2 linked regions of the Ovis aries genome follow. The protein of the gene in region 2 purifies or fractionates together with the protein of the main gene of each other region. This does not show direct contact. Links are inferred from orthologs where the notes say so. Each region holds a gene or a part of one and is shown on either strand. Other genes may lie near its edges.

What was found. The genes of interacting proteins can lie anywhere in the genome.
Region 1: the proteins of RPS3 (region 2) and ASCC3 purify together in Homo sapiens (co-immunoprecipitation; 4 studies listed by BioGRID and IntAct, with this or other methods). This does not show direct contact. The link is inferred for Ovis aries from reciprocal best matches to the Homo sapiens genes RPS3 and ASCC3.

The regions. Positions count from the first base shown.
Region 1 is NC_056061.1:36,367,691-36,371,801, reverse strand, and holds the start of ASCC3 (activating signal cointegrator 1 complex subunit 3), read right to left. Parts: upstream 2,801-4,111; 5' UTR 2,595-2,800; intron 1-2,594. UniProt on the Homo sapiens protein: ATPase involved both in DNA repair and rescue of stalled ribosomes. 3'-5' DNA helicase involved in repair of alkylated DNA: promotes DNA unwinding to generate single-stranded substrate needed for ALKBH3, enabling ALKBH3 to process alkylated N3-methylcytosine (3mC) within double-stranded regions.
Region 2 is NC_056068.1:53,317,465-53,321,676, reverse strand, and holds the start of RPS3 (small ribosomal subunit protein uS3), read right to left. Parts: upstream 2,801-4,212; 5' UTR 2,771-2,800; coding exon 2,741-2,770; intron 2,199-2,740; exon of another isoform or gene 2,049-2,198; intron 1,904-2,048; coding exon 1,773-1,903; intron 1,502-1,772; coding exon 1,408-1,501; intron 527-1,407; coding exon 432-526; intron 1-431. UniProt on the Homo sapiens protein: Component of the small ribosomal subunit. The ribosome is a large ribonucleoprotein complex responsible for the synthesis of proteins in the cell. Has endonuclease activity and plays a role in repair of damaged DNA.

The DNA.
Region 1 (4,111 bases), on a different chromosome or scaffold from region 2:
ACAGAGAGTTTCAGAAATATAAATGTCTATAAGACATTATTATAAGCCAGCACAAGCAGGAAAATGAACAAACAGTAGACAAACTCACTCAAAAATATTCATTTGCTCCTCTAACCACAAAATACTCAAATGAGACGGTACATACTGAATGAATGAACATTTACATGGGTCTGTCAACCATGTGCCAGATATTACACCAGGCAAAAGAAATAAGTAACTATTTTAAGTAACTTTAGAGTATAATGTAGGAGATAAGACACATAAAGTCTGCCTTTGGATAATTATTAAACACATACTCCCAGGTAGCTCAATGGTAGAGAATCTGCCTGCCAATACAGAAGACACGGGTTCAATCCCTGGGTAGGGAAGATCCCCTGGTGAAAGAAATGGCAACCTACTCCAGTATTCTTGCCTAGAAAATTCCATGGACACAGGAGCCTGGTAGACAACATTGCATGGGGGTCACAAAGAGTAGAACACAACTGAGCAAACACAAATAGTTTATTCTCTCCTCCTTGGTAATTAAGTACTTTTTCTTTCCATAAATGTGTTTGCTAAAATTTCAGTTTCGGGTAGACATCTGTTCAAAGTTGAAAACTGTGCCACATTACATCAAGACAGGGAAGTCTGACATGCTGCAGTCCACGGGGTCACAAAAGAATGGTAAACAACTTAGTGACTGAACAAAAACAACACCTCGAGACTATTCTGTACTAAAAGGGCTTATGTTAACTACTTCCCCATGGAAGGTATTATTGGACAATAAATTCACTTCAGCCAACAAGTATTATACATATTTCTGATGAAAATGCTCTGTGCATAGAACTACTATGAATTACTCTAATGAATTACAAGTTATTAAGACATAGACCAACAGACCAACATAGAAACTGGAAAAATTATTTTAAAAACATTTTTAATGTTTATGTATTATTTTTCAGGTAGAAACTGACTTCTAATTCTTAATTATATAACTAAGCCAACTTGTCCAAAAGAAAACTTACTCCTCTTAACCAGCAAAACACAGGCATGCATATTATCTTTTTGATCAAAAACAAAACAAGTCATGCTGTTCAAGTAAAATGATCTGCTCCTCTTTTCAATGCCACTTTATATATAAACACTGACAGTAACTTTTTCTTGCAAAAAGCCTTGCTTTTGTCAACTAGATATCCGTGGCATGAGGAGGAACCCTAATCAAGATTCTCTATTAGAAGGAGGCAGAACTCTACAAAGTTTCCTAAGTACAGACATCCTGTCTCTCTTGACTGCCTAGGCCTAGCATAGTGCCTGGCACATAGAAAGACATAAATAAGTGAATGATGAATGAAAGAAAACTAAAACTATACAGCAGGGATCACAATGAGAAGCCATGAAAAATTAAAGAAAGAAAAAAGTGAAGTTGCTTAGTTGTGTCCGACTCTTTGCCACCCCATGGACTGTAGCCCACCAGGCCACCAGGCTCCTCCATCCATGGAATTTTCCAGGCAAGAGTACTGGAGTGGGTTGCCATTTCATTCTCCAGGGGATCTTCCCAACGCAGGGATCGAACCCAGGTCTCTCACATTGCAGGCAGATGCTTTACCGCCTGAGCCACCAGGGAAGCCCCAAGTCACTCTAATATTAGCTTACACTTAACTGGCATCTCTAAGGAGCATTTTTCTTATGCAAGAATATTATTATAACCACCATTAAAAATAAAAGATATATGAACAGGAGCACAATCCAGACTGGAATCAAAAGCTGAATCCTCAACTTTTAAGAACTTTTTTTTTTTTTTAAGAACATTTTGAAAAGTCGGAAAGATGATTTCAGTCTATGAAACATGAAATGTGGTGATGGAGATAACAGCTACTCAAAGTCTAATTTTACTTAGTGAAAGAAAGAAAATATGATTACTAGTTTGAACTGCACATGTGATGCCATTCGTATTAAACTTTTAGCTACCGCTAAAATGACGTTTCTTTTAAACCAAAGAGCAAAATACATGAGCACACTGCAATCAGTGAACAAGTTAGTGTGTGATAAGAAGCCTATTTAAAATAAAAAAAACTGCCCACGTACCCACGACATCGCAGCATGCTCGCACATACAACAAACTTTCTTCAAAATAACATTCTAGATTCCTCGATTGCTAAATTCACCCACAATTCACCATGGTCCACTCCCTATCCAGTTTATTTACTGTTCAGTGTTAAAGTAAAAAATACTGGGAAGTTGATTTCTCTCCAAAGTCCACGTGAAGAAAATGAAAGTTATTACATTTTTGTAAAGAAACAAAGAAAATTAATGAAAACAAACTACTCACGCACAGGGGAAAAAAGCACGCATCTGGTCATCACCTTGTGGCCTTAACCCCTTGGCAACATGTGGCTGTGTCCATGTTTTGATCCCCACCCCCCACCCTACAAATTTCATGAGCAGGACGAGACTATCGTAGACCACGGAAAAGTCTCAGGCCCAGAGAGGAATGACAGGTCCGGGCTCGCCTCCGGTACCGACAGACAAGCGCACCTGGGGCGCCCTTGGCCCCGCCTCCCGCCGGCTTCCCCGGGCCGCAGGCTGCCCTTCTCCTCCCACGTCCCCCTCCTCACCTTCGGCCCCGCTTCAAGCGCTCCCCATCACTCCGCCAGCTCCGGCTTCCCTCCCTTTCGGTTTGATCTTTACTTCCCACGCCGGGAGGGGGACGGAGGGCAGGGCAGAGAAGGCCAGAGGACAACTTCCCCGCCGCGTCCTCGTCCGCACCCCACGCGGGCCTAGCCGGATCCCTCCCAGTCCTGGGGCAGGGTCCACGAAGACTGCTCGACCGCGGCACAGACTCACAGACCCGGCAAGCAGGGAGGGGGCGGAGCAGGCGCGGGCCTACACGTCACCCGCCCGCAGCGGCGCCAACGTCGCACGTCGGCTCCTTCGGTTCCACCCCGCCCGCGAGCGCGCGCCGCCGCCCCGCCTCCTGCCGGAGCTCGGATCGGGACCCGGCCAGCTGCGGGGGCGGGCTCTCGGGCGGGCGCGCGTGCGCGCGATCCTGGGATTCCGGGTGTGTAGGTCAATGGCAGGAGAAATCAATGGCGCCCCACTCCAGTACTCTTGCCTGGAAAATCCCTTGGGCGGAGGCGCCTGGTGGGCTGCAGTCCTTGGGGTCGCGAAGAGTCGGACACGACTGAGCGACTTCACTTTCACTTTTCACTTTCGTGCATTGGAGAAGGAAATGGCAACCCACTCCAGTGTTCTTGCCTGGAGAATCCAGGGACGGGGGAGCCTGGTGGGCTGCCGTCTATGGGGTCGCACAGAGTCGGACACGACCGAAGTGACTTAGCAGCAGTAGCAGCAGCAGTTCAATGGCAACCCACTCCACTACTCTTGCCTGGAAAATCCCATGGACGGAGGAGCATGGTAGGCTGCAGTCCATGGGGTCGCTAAGAGTCGGACACGACTGAGCGACTTCACTTTCACTTTCATGCATTGGAGAAGGAAATGGCCACCCACTCCATTGTTCTTGCCTGGAGAATCCCAGGGACGGGGTAGCCTGGTGGACTGCCGTCTATAGGGTCACACAGAGTCGGACACGACTGAAGCGACTTAGCAGCAGCAGCAGGTTACCGTCACCATGCCGCTCTTGCCACCTCCAAATTGCCTGAGCGTCTTTTTTCTGCAGTTATTATAGTTGGATCGGCCTTATCTTCTCCTCGCCCATTTCTAAGGCCAAGACCTGGAGGCTCAGTTCAGTCGCTCAGTTGTGTCCGACGAAGACGTGGAGGAAGTAATGCTTATTACAAATAAATGAGAGAGGAGCCCTGAGTATGAGCAAAGAACCAAGTTAATTGCCATTGTCATCGCCAGCCAGAAACCCTGGCCACTGGTCACTTTATGCATGATTCCTTGCTCTCAAGTTCCTCCTTCCTTAAGCTTTCTGCTTCTCAATTTAGTTTCCTCAAAGGTATGTCTTCTAGTTGGTCCTTTTGTCTGACAAACCCCACCAAAAACAAAACGCCTGGAGATTACCTGGCTCCGTTGCAAATCAGGAAGAGCTTAAGAAAAACTAACTTCAAGTATGTGTGTACAGTTCAGGTCAGTTCAGTAGCTTAGTCGTGTCCGACTATTTAATGTCGCC
Region 2 (4,212 bases):
AAATCTTATCAGCAAGCCCAGCTCCGGGGCCAATCTAACCACCTCATGTCCTCTGTTCCTCACATCACTATCTATAAATACCTACTGGGCATACCTGACTAGATTTTAAGCTCTCTTCTCAGCAATGAGTCTTCTCTCTTGAATCCCCAGAGTTACCACCACACAATGTATGTGAATGACTTCAACATGAACCCAAACCATTCCCCACCCCCATCCTACATTCATACTCCCACCGTGCTCTACTAACACCACTCGCTTTTTTAAACACTTGTCTTTACTAGTCTTTCTAACTAGGCTGCAACATGGATTGACAATGTCTTATTGTTAAAGCCCTCAGAGACTAGCTGAGCCTGTCCAGAGTCCACTTACTAAATTAACAAAATAGCTGATATACTGATTCACGAAAGGACACAATTCATAAGGACTCTTACCTCCGCACAGCAAGGCCTCCTAGGAGCTTGTAACGCAGAGACTCTGCCTGGGCAATGGCACACAGTCCTCTTGTGGCTACCTTTTCAGCATAAAGCTTTAAAGAAAACAAGGCACATTCTTAAACTTGTTACACTCATCACCACCGTTTTCAACTAAAAATCAGCACATTCATGATTCAAGCAGACACCCCTCTATGTATCACTCTATTTGTTCTCATTTAGTGGATGAGTGTGCAACCCCATTGGCTACAGCCCACCAGGGTCCTCTTCTTCTCCAGGCAAGAATACTGGTGAAGGTTACCATGCCCTCCTCCAGATCTTCCTGACTCAGGGACTGAACCCGCGTCTCCTACATTGGCACGCAGATTCCTTACCAGTAAGCCACCTGGGAAGCCCTTCACTGTACTACCCAAGTATTAAAGCACTTCTAATGCCCACATCTAACAAACACTCAGGGACGCAGACTGAACTGAACCATTCCTCATTTTTCTCCCACCCCCACCTCTTTCCACAGCCAAATCATGGAGATCAATGGGCAGCCAACCTCTCCTATGTATCATTACTAATTCCAAGATAGGTATAAACTGCTGCCAACTGCTTATTAAAAGACCTTCAACAAAATACCAATCCATTTGTAATACTCACTGATCACAAGTAAGCTTTCAGGGTGATAATATGAGTTTTCAGAAGTACCATCCTAAAGAGGGCTTCCCTGGTGGCTCAGATGGTAAAGAATCCGCCTGCAATGTGGGGAGACCTGGGTTCAATCGCTTGGTTGGGAAGATCCCCTGGAGGAGGGCATGGCAACCAGCTCCAGAATTCTTGCCTGGAAGACTCCCCATGGACAGAGAAGCCTTGGGGCCATGGGGGTCACAAAGAGTTGGACACGACTGAGCGACAAAGCACAGCACAGCACCATCCTGAAGAGCCATTTCTAGCTCCAGAGTAGCCTCTGGCACAAGCCAGGATCACTCACCTCTACACTGCCTTCAGGGAAGCCGAATCTCTTCTGAACCACAGCAGTCAATTCCCGGATCCGCCGGCCCTTCTCACCAAGTACATTCTGTGTCCTGGGGAAAATGAAGAGTGACAATTCACAGCTCTCATAACATTACAGATGTAATTTTAAACCTTGCACACGTGTGGTAGTAAAAATCTAATTCATCTGACACAAGAAAGCATAAATTTTGGATGACAAGAACTAAGAGATTATCTTTTTTTTAAATGCAGCTTAAAAACTCATTCACGATGACTCAACTGTTGTTCTGCTACGTTTACAGAAGAAATCACCTTAGTGCAGACAACAATTACAGGTGATGGCCAGAAAAATGAATTTTTCACCTGGTGGCCAAGATGATGATCTCTGTCCTGGTTGGTGTAACTCGGACCTCAACTCCAGAGTACCCATCTTCGGCCAGCTCCCGAGTGAGAAACTCGTTCAGTTCAGCTTTGAAGATGCCATCAGCGACAAACTAACCAAAAGCAAAATGAAAATGAGGATCTGGACATGGGCTCAGGTTTCTAGCCCAGTCAATGCAACCCTAATCAAGATTCAACACCTCCAACCAACGACCCATCATTAATTATTTTGCCTTGTTCCAGAGAAAACATAGCAACCCTTCTCAGACAAATGCCTCTAAGTCATCTTTTGGAAGTTAACTTTGACCCAGGCCCTTAAAACTGTGCCACAGAACGCGGCACAGGGTAGGGGTCACCTGGACAAAGAGAACACCTCCAGTCAGACTCGTCATCTCCTCTTCATTGAAGGGTTTTAAATAATCAAACCGTTTCCCCCAGGTCCCTTCCCTCTATTTCCCCAGAACGTTTCCTTGACCCCAAGATAGAACAAGAAATTGTCAGTAACCTTCCAAACTGAGGTCCTTGGGGTCAGAAGCCTGCACCCAGACAAGCCTAGGAAGAAGGCAAGCGAACACTGCTACCTCCCTTTCTCAAAGCTACCATTCGATGAGGGAAAGGCTCATGCATTCAAAACATCACATTTAGTAACTTTACTAACTACTGACTAAGAAAGGCTCACAAGCGCTCCTCCACGGCAGGAGGAGCCCTCAGTGCTCATCTCTGCTCTCCGCCCGGAACCGGCAGAAATCCTTCTCTCCTATCCCAGCCATACCGTTCTCAGCAGCCACGGGCCTGCGCTCAATCCACCGCCATCCGCAGCCCACGGGAAAGCGACACAGTCCGGCCGCTGCCCCGGGCATAGCGAAGAGCTATAAGTCTCGCAATAGCACCCAGAAAGGCTCCTGACCCGCGAAACGCCACTTCCCTGCAACCGGGCCCCGGGATCTCACCTTCCTCTTTTTGGAAATTTGCACGGCCATCTTGCCGACGCGAGCCGCCGAAAGGAAAGGAAGTGGCAAGCGGGCGGAAGTGCGTATAAAGGGCGCTGTGCGACGACAAAGAACTGCGCGACGTCGACGCCTGTGAGCGCTCATGGGAAGTGTAGTTTTCACTTTGGTAAAAGGAAAGAGAAAAGCGCGGTCCAAGGGTTGATGCTTTTGAACTGTGAGGTGTTGGGGAAGAAAGGAAATCAATCCTCAGTATTCATTGGAAGGACTGATGCTGAAGCTGAAGCTCCAATACTTTGGCCATCTGATGCAAAGAGCTGACTCATTGGAAAAGACCCTGATACTGCCTTCAGAAAGACTAAAGTCAGGAGGAGAAGGGCAGGACACAAAGGATGAGACAGTTGGATGGCATCACCGACTCAATGGACATGAGTTTGAGCAAGCTCCGGGAGATGGCGATGGACAGGGAAACCCGGCGTGCTGCAGCCCATGGGGTCGCAAAGAGTTGGACACAACTGAGCGACTGAACAACAACAATATCCAGAAACCTGGGCTTTCCAGGTGGCACTAGCGGTAAAGAACCCGCCTGCAAATGGAGGAGAGAGAGTGGTGAGGGGTCGATCATAGGGATGAGGGGTCGATCTCCAGGTCAGGAAGATCCACTGGAGGAGGGCATGGCAACCCACTCCAGTTTTCTTGCCTGGAGAATCCCATAGACAGAGGAGCCAATATCTCAATCAGAGCTTTAAAAATTCAGGGAAGTTTAGAGTCCAGTTCTCATCAGTTTAATTAGAGCCCAGTTCTCATCAGTTTAAAACCAAGTATAAACACACACTTATCTGCTAACTTTATTCTTTAATGAAAAAAAGTAAAAGCACTTTTGGGCTGAAAGCCCTCAGAGAAATTCACTGAGGCACCTATCTCTTCCAATTTGTGTCCACTTCCTCTGTTGCAAACTGATAATATATATATAATATGTATTAAATATTCTAAGGACTGTTTTAGGACTTTATATTATTAATTCATTACCTCTACCTCACGTTCATAAAGTATGTTACAGCTTGTAACAGAAGTTACGATAATGGCTCGCAATTCTTTTTCAATTAAAAAAAATCTCCCCTCGCAGATTTTATTACAAAAAATTTCAAACATACAGAAAAGTTGGAAGAACTATACAGTGTACACCTATATATGCATCCCTTAGGTGCTGCAATTAACATTTTTTTCTGTATTTGCTTTATCAGATATTTATCCTTGCCTCTATCCACCCAACAGTGCATCTTTTGATACATTTCAAAGTTACTTTCAGGCATCAGGACACTTCACGCCTTAAATTTTCCCAACAGTTTTTTTTTTTTTTTTTTTCCAGTTTTACTGAGAAATAATTGACATACATCAATGTATAAGTTTAAGGCATACAACATAATGGCTTGATTCACATATCATGAAATGATTACCACAAGAGATTCAGTTAA